2 linked regions of the Drosophila melanogaster genome follow. The protein of the gene in region 2 binds, or shares a complex with, the protein of the main gene of each other region. Each region holds a gene or a part of one and is shown on either strand. Other genes may lie near its edges.

Evidence for each region.
Region 1: SWIP (region 2) and wash share a complex: the UniProt entries of both Drosophila melanogaster proteins name them as parts of the WASH complex.

The regions. Positions count from the first base shown.
Region 1 is NT_033778.4:12,178,336-12,182,984, forward strand, and holds wash (washout), read left to right. Parts: upstream 1-2,157; 5' UTR 2,158-2,205; intron 2,206-2,287; exon of another isoform or gene 2,288-2,290; 5' UTR 2,291-2,365; coding exon 2,366-3,865; 3' UTR 3,866-4,038; downstream 4,039-4,649. Other genes in the region: EndoG (endonuclease G), read right to left, coding at 1-138; CG8860 (uncharacterized protein), read right to left, coding at 1,252-1,458; CG13175 (uncharacterized protein), read left to right, coding at 4,461-4,649. UniProt on the Drosophila melanogaster protein: Acts as a nucleation-promoting factor by activating the Arp2/3 complex to induce actin polymerization. Participates in both linear- and branched-actin networks.
Region 2 is NC_004354.4:16,312,106-16,318,481, reverse strand, and holds SWIP (strumpellin and WASH-interacting protein), read right to left. Parts: upstream 4,774-6,376; 5' UTR 4,664-4,773; intron 4,603-4,663; 5' UTR 4,601-4,602; coding exon 4,085-4,600; intron 4,024-4,084; coding exon 3,817-4,023; intron 3,761-3,816; coding exon 2,660-3,760; intron 2,598-2,659; coding exon 2,345-2,597; intron 2,291-2,344; coding exon 2,136-2,290; intron 2,070-2,135; coding exon 1,643-2,069; intron 1,579-1,642; coding exon 1,373-1,578; intron 1,313-1,372; coding exon 869-1,312; 3' UTR 732-868; downstream 1-731. Other genes in the region: Cyp1 (cyclophilin 1), read left to right, coding at 1-300; CG9915 (uncharacterized protein), read left to right, coding at 5,516-5,534, 5,600-6,376. UniProt on the Drosophila melanogaster protein: Acts at least in part as component of the WASH complex which may regulate wash nucleation-promoting factor (NPF) activity and is required for its membrane targeting during endosomal sorting.

The sequences.
Region 1 (4,649 bases), on a different chromosome or scaffold from region 2:
GGGCAGACCAGGCAGCCGCGGAAGGCCACTTGTGGAGCCATTGTGCTGGCGTTCGCGTTCCACGTGGGTGCCCAGATAAAAGGCGCCCAGGGCGGTGGCACCCAAAGCTAATACGCCACCCACTCGAGGAGCACTCATTTTGGCAGTTTTATTTAAAAATCTGGACAAAAAGACCAGATAGCGACCGCTATTGCACAATTCAGGTACTTTAGTGTGACCACAGTTTAAAGTGGTCGAACGAACTACAGTGAAAGACATAAATATATGCACGGATTGCTAAATTTGCTTGGGAAAATAAGTAAGTATACTATGTATATTTCATTAATGTATTAATAACTTAAAAAGGCGACGTGTGAGCTTTAACCGTAGCCCAAGTCGCAAATGGTGGTACTTACCAATTCCATATAGATAGATGGGCTTCGTGAACAGCAAGATATCCGAGCTCGAATAACTCGTCGTGGCAGTTCAAAATTCCAGGGCTGGATATCCCCTCGTCTTATGTGCTCTAATACACACTCGGCGTGTAGCAGGTTGTAAGAAATTCGCGTTTAAAATCAAATAACTTAGTGGGCGCTGCCATGTTTTAAAATTTATTCGATAACCGATCCCCGACTTAAAAGGAAAAGTGTGACCATCAATTTATAAAATTTAGCTTATATTTTGTAAAAAAATTGTTGCTTCTTTGTTTAGGAATTTTTAAGAAAAAGCAATTGTGTCGCAGAACAAAACGATGGCTAAAACAGTAATTTTAAAAAGGCATACAACACATATAAAATTATTTTTAAGGTTAAAGAAAGATTTTTATAACAGAATTAAAATCTTCTAATTTTAAAGCAATATTAGGCGAACCCAAATACATGCCATTGTACAATGTAGAATTTAATGTTAAATCATCTCTATGTTAAAATAACAAAATATAAACATTGTCAATTGGAAGAACGATTCAAAATAAGCAACTCGACCTAGATGAATGAAATAGTACAATACATGCCATTTTGTTGCTGAATGATAAGCTAAGATTTTGTTGAATTTTGGCTTAGTTGCATTCGGAAATATATTTACAACATTTTGAGCACACCCTCCAAGCACCCAATTTATAACCAGACTTTCTTATCTCAAACCCAAGCCAAAGATATTACATTGTATTGTGTGTATAAAATCCGAAGAAGGGGCATTTATTTCGCTAAAGATGCGCGTGGAATCGTGAACTACATGTAATCTCTTTCCGGTCCGGGGGCCACCTGCCGCTTTCTAGGATCCCACGATGATGTTGTTAATGGGAATGTGAATCAGCTTGACGAAGAAGCCGATGAAGCCCATGATGGCGAAGCCCACGGCGGTGGCGATGGCGATTTTCTGGAACTCCTTGCGGTCGGGTTTTGTGCAGCGCTTCACCAGGCGGATTGAGTCCTTGGCGAAGGCGCGTCCGGGTTCGGCGAATTTGACAACCTTGTCCATTTTTGATTTGTGAGTATTTAACTAAGAATTACCAATGAACTGAATTGATATTTATTTTGCTGCCGTGTCGCTTCTTGCAGTGTTACCAAGTTCCTCAGCTCAAAACATACTAAAAATTAACGCCTTTCCTTTAGTTGTTAATAAATTTTTTTTTTGGTTGAAATATAAGTGTATTTGAATTATTTTAATTTATTTTGAGTTTTTCTTTAAATTGAACCCATTCAATTATTACTTTGAAGCAAATCATTTAATGAACAGTTTTTAACAATTGATTTGGGCACACTACCCTACCCTAGCGTCGATGGAGGAACGGTGGATTTTTGAACATATGGACGTTTTCTATTTATTTATTTTTTCGTCATTTGGAAGTGAATTCCAAATTCCGTGCTCCGGAATGGCGTGCTTATAGGCTTACATTTGCCTAATTTAGTAATGATCCTGAATAAATGATCCCCTGATTAAAAAAGTTCTCCTAACAGTGGGATGAGTTTGAAAGGTATTTAAAAATGCCGCCTTCTCTAGTAGAAGTACTACAGCCGATCCGTGTCCTTAACTGCTTTATTAACAGTAATAGTTTTGGGAGACACCGCAGTTTATCTGAGGGTTAGTTTATCTGAAGGTTAGTTTGTTTCCTGGTGGTTTGTTTATCTGGTTAGCTTATCTGGGGTCTAGTTTACCTGAATGATAATTTACGTGGGAGTTAGTGTAACTGAGGGTTCAGTTGACTGGTGTTTCGTTTAGCTAGGGGTTAGTTAATCTGAGGTTTCGTAATTTTAAAAGAAATCCATTTAATTATTACTTTGAACCAAATCATTTTTAACATCTTGTAAAGCTTTTAGAGTTGGTCACACTACCATGAACAGCAGTAAAATTGCAAATAAATATGTAATTATTTGGCGATAGAAAAATGGAGGAGTCACCTTACCTGCACAGCCCCTACCAGGTGGCCATTATAGCCACCGACCTGCACCACGAGGATACCATAATCCAAGCAGCCCAGTCCCTGGACTGTCTACACAAAACCATAAACTCGATTTTCGAGCGAATCGATGCCCGCTTGGCGAGAAATGGTTCAAAGGTTGAGGACATAAACAATCGTGTGAAGCGCGCTCAGGCAAAAATCGATGCGCTCGTTGGCTCCAAGCGGGCCATCCAGATCTTTGCACCCGCCCGCTTTCCGGCCAGCGACGTCCTGGCACCGCTGCCAGCCACCTTTCCACAGGTGGCAGCCAATCCCCTAATGGAGCAGCAAGTGGACCAGCTCCCGCAAGGGACGTACAGCAGTCACAGTGCCGCGGACCAGAAGCCGGATGATGCGGACATCTTTTTCCATGTACGTGGCGATCGGGAGCAGGAATCGCCACTGGTCGCCGAACGGAAGATAACCAATCGGACCGCTGGCCTGGGCATCCTGCCTGCGGGTGGAGTGCGCTCCGTACCCTCGCTCATGCGATTCAATACCAATGAGTTCGCCTACGGCGAGGATCTGAATGCCTGGAAGCGATCCCTACCGCCGCAAAATGCTCGACGCGTTGCCAGTCAGTCCACTCAACTCACGGGAGAAAAGCAGCTCGCTCCGGCACCTCATTCGCTGGCCCACGGCACCACCAAACTGGCCACTCCAGCTGGGGACCTGCGCTACAATCCTGCTGCTTTGGCTGCACCCGCCATTGATGTTCCGCTGGACCTGCCCGACCTACCGGGCATAGCGAATGATCTGCAATATGAGCCAGTGGAGGAGCAAACACCAATAGCGCCTTCCCAGCAGTTCGGTGATTTACCAGAGCTGCCGGATTTGGGCCTCGAGGAGCAGGATATAATAGTGCAAGCCATCGCGGCACAGACGCACATTCCGGGACCGGTGCGTAGGAAGAGTGTGGGACAATGTCCTTCGCCAGTTACGGCGGCACCACCGCCTCCTCCTCCGCCACCACCGCCGCCTCCACCTCCTCCACCAGCGCAGACGAGCGCAATTCCATCACCGCCACCCTTTCCCACCAAAGGAGCTGTGAAACCGCTCTCCCCGTCGTTAGCAACACCTCTTAACATGCCGCAGCCGCCTCCAGCTACTGAAGATCCGCGATCTGAGCTTATGGCCGCCATAAGAAACGCCGGTGGAGTGCATGGCGGTCGTCTGCGGTCGCCTGCGGCTGCGCCGCTCGACGTGGTGGACAACAGTCGCTCCAAGGCGGGAGGCGCTGTCACGGGGGATTTGATGGCAGACCTGCATAACAAGCTAATGCTGCGACGCAAGGGAATTTCTGGGAGCCAGAATCCCGTGGAGGCCACTGCTGGCAATCCCCTGATGCAGCAGCTCTCCCGCGTCATACCGCCGCCGGTGCAGCCCCGCAAGGGATCTAAGTCGAGTGACGAACACTCCGAGGACGACGAGGATGGGTGGAACTAGTGAATATTTAGCTTTAGTACCGGTTTAAGTGCCTTGGCTGGCTTAAAGCACTAGCAACCTAGGTTCTCTAGCTTAAAGCATACAAATTTCTAAAACGAATTCCAAATTCTGTGCCCAAGCGAGCATGCCAAATTAGGTCAAAGTCAACCAGTTGAATAAAACTACATATTAGCAGAAATGTGTGTAATTTCTTATTGAGAACATTGGCTAACTTTAATTGATAAAATTACAGGACAATGAAACATTTTGTGATGCTAAATGAAATAAAACAATTCTTTATACTGACTAAAATAAACTCGATATTAAATTATAATAAAACACTAAATTCTAGTTTTAGATAACAGCTATTTTCCTATTTGAAATAAACGAATTTCCCTGTTAAATCCTTAACAGCGCTGTTGTGTTGCTCTCTGCCAGTGCTGTAAAATGCCGCAGTGGAATCACATTTCGGGTAAAAACAAATTGAAATATCCACCGAATTTAAATATTAAAGTTAGAGAAGCTGCCAAATATCTGGAGTTACAATCAGGGACAAGGACAAGGACTACTACACTAGAGGAGAGCTTTTACAAGCAATCCGGTGAAACCACATATAATGACAAGTCCGTCGCGGGATATAAACGATCTTTTTGACGATATTGTCCTGACCGAGGAGAAGGAGGCACGTTTGGGCTACGAGGAGGGACTGAAGGACGGCCAGGAGCAGGGCAACGAAGAGGGCTATAAATTGGGCTACGCCCAGGGAGTATCCCTAGGCGAGGAGCTCGGCAAGATTCTGGGCCAG
Region 2 (6,376 bases):
GACTTCACCAACCACAACGGCACTGGCGGCAAGTCCATCTACGGCAACAAGTTCCCCGATGAGAACTTCGAGCTGAAGCACACCGGCTCCGGCATCCTGTCGATGGCCAACGCTGGCGCCAACACGAACGGCTCCCAGTTCTTTATTTGCACTGTGAAGACCGCCTGGTTGGACAACAAGCACGTCGTCTTCGGCGAGGTCGTCGAGGGACTGGATGTGGTCAAGAAGATCGAATCTTATGGATCGCAGTCTGGCAAGACCTCCAAGAAGATCATTGTGGCTAACTCTGGTTCTCTTTAAGAAGGTGCGATGCAAAAGCAACAGCAACATTGCAAGAAGAAAAATCTGTTAAGACGAAAACCATTTGCATTTTCTCCAAAACATTTTTTTTTACCAATTACTGTACTGTAATATTACGAGAAAAATACATAACAAACCAACATATTTTCAATAGACATGTTGGGTTTCCTTTGGCCAATCAATTGTATGTGGGGGCCAAAAGTGAATAGAATTAGTGCCCACCAATGTCAGAAAGCGTTCAATTGGCTATATAATATGCATTAAATCTGTAACTTTAACATTTCCATTCACAAAAAAAAAAACAAAGAAGAAAAACAATGAGACGACAAGAGTCGAGAGGGGCTTAGAAAAATGTTTGATCTTTTGATGTTGGCTTACTTACTACTAATAATAGTATTAGTAATGCTGATTATCTAATTGCATATATATATATATATACCAACGTTCTACGCTATGTACCGGAATCGGAATTGTATTTTCGTCTTAATAAATCTGAATAAACGGCAACCAACTACTCAATTGTTTGTTGTCACTGCTGGGATCTTTGGTTTTGGTAAATGGACATATTTTATTGGAAGAATATTTCGGAGCTACTCAAGGTGGCGTACAATAGATTGTATTCATGCTCGTAGGCGTTCACATGTCGTTCGGTTATCGCCACTGTCTGGTGAAGCTTCTCGTCCAGCTGCTCCGGCGCCGTCCGCTGCTGGCCCGCCAAAATGTCGCGCACCTTGGAGCGCTCCGCGTTCAGGTGCTGCGTGATCGTCTGGCTCCAGCCCAGCTCATGGAACTCCGTCTGCTGGTTCAGCATGTTGAGGATGTAGACCAGGCCGATGGCGAAGCCATCCTCGAACAGCGAGATCTTGGTCTGGTCCTTTTTGTAGATCTTTAGCTTCTGCTTGACCCGGTAGTCAATGTAGTTCATGATGAGCGCCGGTGTGATGAGGTAGAAGGTTCGCAGGTGGTGGTTATGTGGATTGCACAAAAAGGGCTGAAAGCCTTGCAGAAGAAGCTGCAATATAAATCCATGGGTTAAGCTGGTTACCTAACTTGTTAAGATCGTAGACTGCACCTTGAAGTAATTTGTGCTATCGGAATAGCACTCCTTCATGTGACCCAGGCTCTTCTCGTACTCCCTGATGGAACCCTCCGTAGCCTCGTGCACTTTGGAGCCCCCGCAACTGAAGTTGCTGTCGAATCTGGTTTTATACGAGCGATTCCGGAAGTTGGCATTCTTGCTTCCAGCCTGCAGGAGGCGCACATAGCCAACAGCGTTGCCTAAAAGCAATATTTACGTTTATATTTTAAGCATTTTCTTGAATTATGGTCTTTAACCACCTACCGACTTGTGTGATAACCTTCCTGAAAAGATCCATATACGTCTCGCCATTGCTGGAGCAGCCTAGCCTTCTGATCTTCTTAAGAAAACTATCGGCGCGCTCATAGGGATACGACTGATAGGACTTGCTGTGCTTGTGCTCCGTGTGAAAACGCAGCTCCTTGAGCAGCCGCGACTTGATCTGCTCGTCGTGGAGGAAGGTGGAGAAGGTGTAAAACTTTTGGCGCAAAAACTGGTATATAAAGTTGACGGTGGTGTTGATGATACCGGTGCCGTGCGTCTGCACCGAGTTGGCCACGTGCCGGGTGCCAATGATGTCGAGGTGCTTGCTCCTGCTGTTCGTCTCCACGAACACCTGCAGGTTCATGTTGTAGGCATACGAGGAGGCGAAAGTGTGTATATTCCGCATGATCTGCAGCACGTCTATGCCCTTGAAAGTGGGAAAGAATTGTTTGGTTAATAGAAGAGATTGCTTATTGATGATTCAATTGGTTACCTGGTCAATTATCTGATTGGGCAGGTGGTCATCGATGGGTTGCAGCTGCAGCACCTTGTTGGCCAAATGACGCATCTTTTCATACGATTTCCAGTCGTGCGGAGCGATTGTCGTTAAGTTGTAGAACGTGGCAGTGAAATAGTTCTCAAGATGATCTAAAATATGTTAATGAATGGCATGATCTCTCAGTTTTGTAACCGATATCTTACCTTTTATAATATTGTAATCACCATCGTTTTCAACTGCAACTGCATTGATGCAGAGACGATAGTCTAAGGCACTTTGCTGGAATGGTTGATCCTGGCTCTGGAAGAGATGCGAAAGGGCCTCCACGCGCAGAAAGAACTCCAGGTGGTTGCTCAAAAACTCAATGATCAAGTCATTCGCTGATTGCTTGGGACACCTTGAACCCCTGAACATGGCCATGATCTTGTCCAGATGATGGCTCACCGACACGAGGTTCTGCCGATGATAAATGGCATAAACATGAAGTTGCTTTGCCAGAAACTGAGTAAGAAACCAACCTGCAAGGAGTAGGGATTGCGTTGGAGTTCGGTGTACTCCTTAAGCACCGAAGTGTCCAGAAACCAGTGATTATATACCAGACTCGAGGACTCCGACGTGTTAAGTTGTCCACCAATATTCCGCATAATGTCGCTGATACTATTAACACGATGTAGGATCGATTTGATCAACTTTTGATTGTCGGCGGGCAGGAGGCGATTATCTAGAAACTCCCCGAGGGCTAGATTTACGAAAGTCAAACGTTGCTTGCTCGGAAATCCCATAATGGACTTCTCGGCCAGCTTTATTGTGGCCAAAAAGTTGATCTTGCGCTGCAGCAACTTGAGGACAACTATCTTCTTTTTCGTTGTGTGCAGCAGGTGTATGACCTTTTGCTTCTGCCATTGTATCAGTGAGCTGATAAAGCGCACGAAATTGATTTGGTTTGACTCAAAGGTCTTCTGAATGACCTTCAGGTACTGCAGCAACCGAGAGACGACGATCCAATCGTTTCTGGTCATGGGCGTCATCAGAGCCACGTGCCGATTGATCAGCGCGACTGCCAGCAGGTTAACTTGATCGGCATAGGAGTGTCCATTGAGAATCAACTGCAGAAAAGTCTTGAGGTGTCCAAAGACTCCCACATCGAATACCCTTTGCATTTGGATGGACCACAGCGATAGTTGGACGCCCAATTGGCGACAGGTCCTCTGATCGCTAAGCCTAAACTTCTCCAATACTGTGCTATGAACTTTTGGGCCTTGTCCATCTTGCGATCGGGCTGAAGACTTCATCAGGGTTTTGGCATGTAGAGAGAGGAATCCGGAAGGCGACCAGAAAACGCTTCGGTTGAGAGGCACCTGCTTATGCCTGGCCACCAAATCGATCACATTCTTGACCAGTTTTCCCTCCATCTGGATGCCTAGCTCATGGACGACGACCACGAAGGTGGTAAGTCGAATAATGTGCTTGGGATCCTCATAGTTTTTAAGTTCGTTACTCGGATTCGCGTCGACGTCGAGAAGCTGCCTACGAATATAGGCATTGGAATGCTGGGTGATGGGGCTAACACTATTCAGGCCAAATTGCTTCTTCAATTCCATCAAATTGTCCAGTAGAATCTGTTTGGAAATATCCATGAAAGGGCGGTTACCATTCACGTTTTTCTTTGACTTACCCGAAAGAAATCCTTGGTGATCAGATTCTCTATATCCATTAGCGATGTACTAAGGCCATTGAGCTCCAAGTTCGCTGATTGGCTATTGGATAGGTTCATCAGCCACTTCTTGTACAGCGCCCACATGGTGGATATCTTCGATTGGTTCGCCAGTTCATTGAATACCACTATGTGTTCCAGTAACTCACTCATTGCATCAAAGACAGCCTGCAAGTTTCGACTTCAATTGGTTACTACACTTGAGATGTGAGTTCGATCGTTGACTTACGAATATGTGGACTTCATTGATGTCCATTGGGACGCTAACAGATGCGGCTATTTGTCTCCAAAGGTTTTGGAGTATCACAATCATGCGATTGAGCAAGAAGTAAACCTGGCAGAAGAAGTCCATGGAGCTGCTCATGCGGACCAAGGATCCCTCCAAGCCGGCGGAACCCTCGGATGTGTGGGTATGTGGCGGGAGCGTATCATCTAATCGAAAGTCGCTGAAAAGGAATGCCAGCTGGAACCGTTTTGCCTTCCTGGACAGATTTCTGCACTGATTGCACAGATTCGCCAGAGTTGTCAGCGGTTTATTGGCCACCAGCTCCGATTCCTCAAAGCTTCTGTCCGGAGCCATGGAATCGTTGCCCATAAAGTTTACCTCGACCACGGGCGACATATATACACACTGTGCAGACTCGGAAACATCCCGATTAGGCACTTTATCTCGCAATAATTTCAATTTCCCATCGTGCTCCGATATGAAGGAGCCGTAATCCCGTAGGATATCCTCGGCAAACATAGCTGAAATAGAAAATATATAGATAAGAATAGTATTCCATAGCTGATATCGGCGTTTTCATACACATAGAGCTTTGCTCTTCCTTCATGTCTACCAATTTTAAAAATATTATTGTTTTGGTTTTCTCATGGCAAATTTAGGGATGGGGCATTTCAAGTGGGTGGATTCCGATTCGATAACGCTAAATTCTCGATATCTTTTGTTTAAACAAGCGTAGTTAAAACCCAAAAACTGTGTAAAATCGAAAATCGCGATTAATTGAATGGAAAAGTTGGTAGCATGTCTATTCCGATAAATGATTTATTTATACAATTTATAAGCAAAAATAATCCTCAGATAATAAATTCATTTTATTTATATAAGAAGCAATATAAATTTTTGATTCAAGAAACAGCGGTAAAAATACATAATCGTAATGACTATGAATATATGCAATACCTAGTTTTCATTCTGACTTAACAAATTAAATCAATTTCTATAAGTTTGGTTATCGATTTCCAAGGATTAAAATCGTACTCCTTGACACGAATACCTGTACGTCGCAGTCTATTTTTAAAACAAGACTTTTGTCCATAAACAAATTTAATTTTGATATTTAAGTTTTGGACTTAAATGTTTTGTAGAATAAGTTATTTCGGATGTCTTATCATAGAAGTTTTGTTATCGATAACAAAAGGCTTGTCGTGTATAAGGGCCCTAAACAGCGTGTATGCATTAGTGTATGTGTACACACAAGCGTTGATGTTCCGTTTCCATTCGTTCCACTGGCCTTACAAATGCCGAGCAATAAAATCGCGTCGTATTTTATAAGTCATTGCAGGAATTATTTAATTTGAGCCTGAAAGCAGTTTGACCAACTGACTAGGCAAATTTGGTTGTGTACTACTAAAAATTTATAGGAATAATTAGTACGGCATGGAAACGTCTGAAATAGGTTGATTACCAAATTGATTCTTAATGGAAATTCTTGTTTAACCATTTTATACACTTAATTTTCAGAAAAGGCCGGCGGCGACGAAGCCGAGACCTTATCCGAGCCACTCGAGAAGACCACAACAGACACGGCCGCAAAAGCGGAGCTAAAGGAAATTCAAGATACCAATCCCGACGCAACCAATTTCGAGCCAGTATTGCCAGAGAAGAGCAAGAGCAAGTCTCCTTCGCCGGCACCCAAGAATGGTGATGATAATGCCGAGGCCATCGCCGATCGCTCGCGTAGTCGCAGTCGCAGTGCTACCAGGAAGAGCGCATCCCGCTCCAGAAGCGGATCCCATAAGTCCCGCAGCGGATCGGTGCACTCGGCAGCCAGTGGCCGGCGTTCGCGCAGTGGCTCCAAGCAGTCGCTAAACGGTTCCCGGCGGTCGCGGAGCGGCTCCGCTCCGTCCCGCAGTGGCTCCCGTCATTCTGGCGCAGCACCGGGATCGCCTGCTGGATCCAGACGTTCGCGCAGCGGCTCTAGACGATCCCGCAGCGGTTCTAGACAATCCCGCAGCGGCTCTAGGCGTTCCCGCAGTGGATCTAAGCAATCGCACCGCTCACGCAGTGGGTCTAAGCGATCCCGCAGTGGATCACGTCGCTCCCGCAGTGGCTCTAGGCGATCCCGCAGTGGGTCTAAGCAATCCCGTGGTGGATCGCGCCGCTCCCGCAGTGGGTCTAAGCAATCGCGCAGTGGATCACGTCGCTCTCGCAGTGGATCTAAGCGATCTCGCAGTAGGTCCGGTTCTAGACGCTCAAATGCATCGCGGAGCGGTTCTCGACGTTCGCGAAGCGGCTCTG